Linked DNA regions of Macaca mulatta. The protein of the gene in region 1 purifies or fractionates together with the protein of each later gene. This does not show direct contact. Links are inferred from orthologs where the notes say so. Each region holds a gene or a part of one and is shown on either strand. Other genes may lie near its edges. The genes, in order: KIF5B and KLC4.

Evidence for each region.
Region 2: the proteins of KIF5B (region 1) and KLC4 purify together in Homo sapiens (affinity purification with mass spectrometry; 4 studies listed by BioGRID and IntAct, with this or other methods). This does not show direct contact. The link is inferred for Macaca mulatta from reciprocal best matches to the Homo sapiens genes KIF5B and KLC4.

Annotation. Positions count from the first base shown.
Region 1 is NC_133414.1:33,394,759-33,398,580, forward strand, and holds part of KIF5B (kinesin-1 heavy chain), read right to left. Parts: intron 3,066-3,822; coding exon 2,961-3,065; intron 2,666-2,960; coding exon 2,520-2,665; intron 1,851-2,519; coding exon 1,702-1,850; intron 1,046-1,701; coding exon 852-1,045; intron 1-851. UniProt on the Homo sapiens protein: Microtubule-dependent motor required for normal distribution of mitochondria and lysosomes. Can induce formation of neurite-like membrane protrusions in non-neuronal cells in a ZFYVE27-dependent manner.
Region 2 is NC_133409.1:139,060,179-139,064,000, reverse strand, and holds part of KLC4 (kinesin light chain 4), read left to right. Parts: intron 1-833; coding exon 834-1,053; intron 1,054-1,520; coding exon 1,521-1,608; intron 1,609-3,822.

The DNA.
Region 1 (3,822 bases):
GTGATCCGCCCATCTCGGCCTCCCAAAGTGCTGGGATTACAGGCTTCAGCCACCGCACCCAGCCTAATTTCTTTACTGCTCTTCTTCTTGCCTTCCATTCTTATGTTCTTAATTTGCTATTATTCATACTATTGACTTTACTTCCATATGCAAAGCAGGAAGATAGTATTTCCACTCTATTGTGTTTCCCTTAATCTCCTACATCATCTTTTATTGGAATCTTCAGAGCCCTGATTCTAACAGTTGGTATCACTAAGGCTCCCAATGACCCAATGCCAAGTTTTCATTAGAACAGGGGTCCCCCAGTCCCCAGGCCACAGAGCAGTACTGGAAGCCTGTTAGGACCCGGGACGCACAGCAGGAGGTGTGCAGCAAGCATTGCCACTTAAGCTCCGCCTTCTGACAGAACAGCGGCATTAGAATATCATTAAGAGTGTGAACTCTATTACGAACTGTGCATGCAAGAGATCTAGGTTACAGGTTCCTTATGAGAATCTAATGCCTGATAATCCAAGGTGGAAGTTTCATCCCAAAACCATCTCCCCCACCCTGGTCCATGGAAAAATTGTCTTCCCTGAAACCAGTCCCTGGTGCCAATAAGGCTGGGGACTGCTGCCTTATAAAATTCTTTCAGCTTAAAAAGAGGGGAAAAAAAGATACACCCTCATACAGTTTCCACATAGAAATTATGACTTATTTTGTTAATAATTTTTACAAGATTAACAGAAATCAAGGAATATGTATAAAGATCCTAAGTGCCCACAGCACTAAAATATGAAAAATTAGAAAATAAAAACACTCATGTCAATAGTATCCTAATATAAAACAGACCTAAATCGGGAAATACCTACCTTGTCATCAAGCTGTTTGTATAATTTGGCAATTTCTTCTTCACACTTTCTTCTTTCAGCATCAGTAAAATTTCCCATAACTCCAATTGTGGTTGCTGGTTTATCATTGGTAATAGCAATATCTTTATCTACTGTGAAAGCTTCCAAATTGGCTTTCTCTTTGTCAAACTGTTCATCAATAGGCACCGTCTCCCCTAAAATATGATAAAGTGGTTAATAAGAAACAACATGTCTAAAACTAATTTCAATTTCATTCCTTCAAAAAAATTTTTTTTTTTTTGGAGACGGAGTCTCAATCTGTCACCCTGGCTGGAGTACAGTGGTGCAATCTAGGCTCACTGCAACCTCTGCCTCCAGGGTTCAACCAATTCTATTGCCTCAGACTTCTCATTAGCTGGGATTACAGCTGCCCAGCACCATGCCAGGCTAATTTTGGTCTTTTCAGTTGAGATGGGGTTTCACCATGTTGGCCAGGCTGGTCTCTAACTCCTGACCTCAGGTGACCTGCCCACCTCGGCTTCCCAAAGTGCTGGGATTACAGGCATAAGCCACTGCACTCAGCGTCGTTCTTTTAAACTTTTTATTCTCTGATTGTGTTATTTTCAAATAATCTGTCTTCAAGTTCAGATGCTTTCTTCTGGTCAATTAATTCTACTACTGATGGTCTCTACTGCATTTTGCTCATTTTATTTTTCAGCTCCAGGATTTCTATTAGATTTTAAATAATTATTTCGATGTCTATTAAATTTCTTGATCTAGTCACTTACTGATTTTGCTGAACTATTTCTACGTTTCTATGCTCTAAATCTGTATTTAACAAACTTAAGATGACAAATTCTTAAGTTATTACCATTACGCCATCTGTTGAGTTCATTTTCAAGCCACTGAATGGTGTTCCGCAGGATCTTATTTTTTTCTTTTTCTTTTTCATACTTCTTTTTCCACTGTTCTGCAGTTAATTCCACATTGACACAAACTGTGTTCTTAATTGTTTTGGCCCTAAGAGATGTAATTGGAGGAAAAAAGGGATGAGACTGAAATTATTTTTAATTTTATCTATATGGAATATATGTATATATGGCTAAGAAATTTATTCTTCTCCAATAATCTCTTAGACTAAATACTAAAAGACACAACCTATGAGGTTATTTACAACCCAACTAAATTTGAGTCTGCTCCAAAATCCGTCAATAGCTTAAAAAAAAAAATCACTAAAAATAAAAGACAAAGACCTATATTTTTCCAATTTGTTTGCAAGGCTGAATTAAGAAATTACTGTTGAAAGTCAAAGACGGAATCATCATTACTGATTTTCCTAATCAACTCATATAGATGTTAACCTGTCATGCATGTCTACAGGCCTAACACAGGATTATGTTTGCCAGGCTTTTACAACATTATTTGAGTCAAATGCTTATTTTCTTTAATACCAAATTACAGCTTGTCACATAAATTTGACTAAAATTACATCTGACTTTAATGTGTACTAAAACTTAAACCAAGCAGTATCAAAAACAGGCCCATCTTGTATTATCTGTCATCAATTCAAATTGAGTGTGTCTAGCACAAAACAATATGTACAGGTTGGAATAACAGCTCACATTTTCCTACATTTTATAAACAAAAGGTCTATCTACATTTAGGTTTTGTACTTTCTTAACAACAAACCTTTGGCCAAATAAGAGTGTAGATTTTGTTTCAGATTCATTGTATGATGATGGAGAGCAGCAAATTACAATAGTGGTTCTACAGTTGCCACCTAATGAATCTTGAAGGATTCTTGTCATTTTACTATCTCGATATGGAACATATGTCTGCATACAAAAAGAAAGAAAGAAAACAAGACCAGTGGGTTTCTGTACAATAAAATGTTATAAAAATATGCTACTTTAAATAAATTAAAAGGTTATTTCAGTTAACTATTTGATATTAAAATGTGAACTAGGATATACATACAATATTATAAACTCCCAAAAGACAACTTACACATACTGATTGAAACACAGTGAATCTCTCTCTCTCCCTCTCTAACACCCATGCACACATATACACCTATATTTAAATAATGCCCCGTAAGGTAACAGGGAGATAGAAGACATGTATACTCACACTACCCTCAGCCAAAGCAGAAATGACATTTCCAAGAGCAGAAAGTGACTTGTTGATGTTTTTAGCTTCATCCAGCACAGCACCTTCAGCTCCAGTTTTACTAACCTATACATAAGATTTCAAAAGAACGGAACAAAATTACAAAAATTTTCTTTAAATTTTCTAAAATTTTCAGAGGTCATCAACAACCAGTAAAAAAGAAAAAAGAACATGAAAAGCTTCATGATCTTATTTGCCAAGCATTTACTCTTAGGTACCACCATTTCTTGAGTACTACTCTTAAGAGTTTGATTAGAGAGACATCAAATTTTATCTGTAGTTTGTAGGTACTCTTGAAAATAACCGCTTTAAATGTAAATTTGTAGTTCATTAATCTTAGTCCCCTTTGCTACATTAGAAAAGAGGAAACTTCTAAAACTGGCTAATGCATAATGTTGATGTTGTAACTATTAGAAAACAGAGACTGAGTTTAAACTCATTATATAAGCAAACCTGCTTCTTCTAAAAAAAAATAAAATAAAATAAAGTATCTAAATATCTATGTTGTGTGGCTTTTTTTTTTTTTTTCTGAGACTGAGTCTCACTCTGTCACCCAGGCTGGAGTACAGTGGCTCAATTCCGGCTTACTGCAACCTCCGCCTCCTGGGTTCAAGCAATTCTCCTGCCTCAGCCTGCCCAGTAGCTGGGATTACAGGCTTTTGCCACCACGCCCAGCTAGTATCTATGTTAAAGATAGGTCAGACCAATAAATTAGCAATGTTGGCTGAATAAACAACTTAGGAGAATTCTCAACATTAGATAATCTTCGAAAGATGTGTATAAGACTTCACAACAGAACAGAACAGATGTATCATTCTAAGCA
Region 2 (3,822 bases), on another chromosome or scaffold:
AATCTCCTGACCTTGTGATCCGCCCGCCTCGGCCTCCCAAAGTGCTGGGATTACAGGCGTGAGCCACCGCGCCCGGCCACAAACATGTATTAAACACTGAGTATGTGCCAGGTACTGTGCTAGGCACTAGGAGTACTGAGATGGAAATGGCATAGGTCTCACCAGTAAGGAGTTCACAGTCTAGTGGGAGAATAAACCTGAGATGGGGAGACCATGAGCCCCTCAAGGGAAAGAACCAGGTTTTTTTTTTTGTTTTTTTTTTTTTTTTTTTTTTGAGACAGTCTCAATCTGTCTCGCAGGCTAGAGTGCAGTGGGCCAATCTCGGCTCACTACAACCTCCACCTCCTGGATTCAAGTGATTCTCCTGCCTCAGCCTCCCGAGTAGCTGAAACTACAGGTGTCCACCACCACACCCGGCTAATTTTTGTATTTTTAGTAGAGACAGGGTTTCACCATATTGGCCAGGCTGGTCTCGAACTCCTGACCTCATGATCCACCTGCCTCGGCCTCCCAAAGTGCTGGGATTACAGGTGTGAGCCACTGCACCTGGCCAGAACCAGGTCTTTCTTACCTTTGTACTCCTGGGACATCCCTTGGTTCATATTTATTAAATAAATGTTTGTTGAATGAATGAATTACTGGGTGAATAACTGAGGTTGTGATGGGCACAGGTCAAGGGAGTGAATAAAAGAATAGTGCTTGAGGCAGGTCTAATATTGAGAGCCCATGTTGGGGCAGGCATAGGTATGGAACAAGACGTGCAATGGGGAACGGAAGGGCAGACAGCAAAGGAGAGAGGAAGAGTCCTTTGTTTATTTTCTGTGATGGTTTAGTGTCCCGTGGTCAAGGTACTGCAGCAGCTCAGCAGGGTGGATATGAGATCCCAGCAAGGTTGCGGACGTTGCACAACCTGGTGATCCAGTACGCAGCCCAAGGTCGCTATGAGGTGGCCGTGCCACTCTGTAAGCAGGCACTGGAGGACCTGGAGCGCACATCAGGCCGTGGCCACCCTGATGTTGCCACCATGCTCAACATCCTTGCTTTGGTGTATCGGTGAGGACTTCCCTCCTCCAGTGCCCAGATCTTCCCCTACATTCCCACCTTGGTCCTCCTTTGGCTTTCATTTTTCCTCTTTACAGGGTACCTGTCCTGCCTGTTGGGCCTCCCAGATACACCCCACTCGGGTGCTTCTTAATGTGCCAGAACTCTCACTTTTCCCATACCTAAGCATTTGCTCATTCTTTGGGATCACTGTTCCTCTAATCTCTTTTGGGGCGTGCTCTCTCCCTCTCTTCCCCCTGTCCTCTCACTTCCTATAACTTGTGGCCTCCTCTTGCGATGGCAGTGCCCTGCATTCTGGTATGTCAGTGAAGCCCCCTTACTGTCCACACCAGGCTTCCTGTCTCCTCATGGAGGTCCCCAGTCCTTAAATGTACTCAGTCCTCCCAAAGGGAAAGAGGGAAGAAGAAGGCTTGCAGGCAGAGTTCAGGGTAACTCCTGTCACTTTTGTCTTCTTCCAGGGACCAGAATAAGTATAAGGAAGCTGCCCACCTGCTGAATGATGCCCTCAGCATCCGGGAGAGCACCCTGGGCCCTGATCATCCTGCTGTCAGTATTCCTTGCCCTCCCTGCCCCACACTCCACACCCCACACCCCATACCATTGCTGTTTTGGCCTCTCTTAGCTCATCCATCTGCTGCCCTCAGTCCACTCACTAAGGGTGATGAGAAAGGAGGAGTAAGAAGTCCTTTCTTCCAGGCACTGTCCAGTGATCCTAGTGCTTAATTCTCTGAGACTCAGTGACTCCTTTTTATAACGAGTATTTTGCTTGAACTTAATTCATAGATAAGTCATAGGTAAATCCATATATGATTTCTAAAAAAGTTAATATGCTACTTTAGTAAATATAAAAGAAAAAAAGTAATTTATAAGAACAATATATACAATGTAATATAATAAGATAAAAATACAAAACAACAGTAACTGTATTGAGTACAACTTTGTTAAAAGAAATAGCAAAGTGGCCTGGGCGCAGTGGCTCACGCCTGTAATCCCAACACTTTGGGAGGCTGAGGCAGGTAGATCACAGGGTCAGGAGTTTGAGACCTGCCTGACCAACATGGTGAAACTCAGTCTCTACTAAAAGTACAAAAATTAGTCGGGTGTGGTGCCACATGCCTGTAAATCACAGCTACTTGGGTGGCTGAGGCAGGAGAATCACCCAGGAGGTGAAGGTTGCAGTGAGCTGAGATCTCGCCATTGCACTCCAGCCTGGGCAACGGGGCGAGACCCCATCTCAAAAAAAAAAAAAAAAAAAATTGCAAAGTGGTCTGATATATAATGAATGATTCTGGATTTAGAAGACCAGTAAGCCATTCCATACGAGAAGTACTAGAAAAATGAGACAGCGGCTGGGTTCAGTGGCTCATGTCATGCATGTGATCCCAGCACTTTGGGAGGCCAAGGCAGGAGATCACTTGAGGCCAAGTATGGGAGACTAACCTGGGCAACATAGCGAGGCCCTGTCTCTACAAAAATTTAAAAATTTACTGGGCACCGTGGCGTGCACCTGTAGTCCCAGCTACTTGGGAGTCTAGGGTGGAAGGATCGCTTGAGTTCAGGAGTTTGAGGTTACAGTGAGCTATGATCATGCCACTGCACTCCAGTCTGTATAGCAGAGTGAGCACCTGTCTCTTTAAAAAAACACTGAAAATATAGGTGGACACTTTATTAAAGTACAGTATTATAAGAAATCACAAGGGTTGGGCATGGTGGCTCACGCCTGTAATCCCAGCACTTTGGGAGGCCAAGACAGGCGAATCACGAGGTCAGGAGTTCAAGACCATCCTGACATTGTGAAACCCCGTGTCTACTAAAAATACAAAAATTAGCTGGGCGTGGTGGCGGGCGCTTGTAATCCCAGCTACTCGGGAGGCTGAGGCAGGAGAATCTCTTGAAACCAGAAGGTGGAGGTTGCAGTGAGGGGAGATCGAGATTGAGATCATGCCACTGCACTCCAGCCTGGGCAACAAGAGTGAAACTCTGTCTCAAAAAAAAGAAATGACAGACCAGATTTATTTGTGTGTAAGAGAAAGAGACTGGGCACAGTGGCTCGTGCCTGTAATTCCAGCACTTTGGGAGGCCAAGGCAGGTGGATCACCTGAGGTCAGGAGTTTCAGACCAGCCTGGCCAACATGGTGAAACCCCATCTCTACTAAAAATATATATATAAAATTAGCCGGGCATGGTGGCATATGCCTGTAATCCCAACTATTTGGAGGCTGAGGCAGGAGAATCATTTGAATCTGGGGGGTGGAGGTTACAGTGAGCCAAGATCACACCATTGCACTCCAGCCTGCGCAACACAGCAAGACTCCATCTCAACAAAATAAAAAGCGGCCCAGTGCTGTGGCTCACTCCTGTAATTCCGGCACTTTGGGAGACCAAGGTGGTCGGATCACCTGAGGTCAGGAGTTTGAAACCAGCCTGACCAACAAGGTGAAACCCTTTCTCTACTAATAATACAAAAATTAGCCAGGTGTGGCAGCATGCACCTGTAGTCCCAGCTACTTGGGAGGCTGAGACAGGAGAATTGCTTGAACCTAGGAGGCTGAGGTTGCAGTGAGCCAAGATCATGCCACTGCACTTCAGCCTGGGTGATGGGGCGAGACTTTCTCTCAAAATAAATAAATAAATAAATAAGTACAAATAAATAAAAGGAAAGAGAGAAACAACCTTAAGTAGGGATATCAGCCGGGCGCAGTGGCTCATGCCTATAATCCCAGCACTTTGGGAGGCCGAGTTGGGCGGATCACAGGGTCA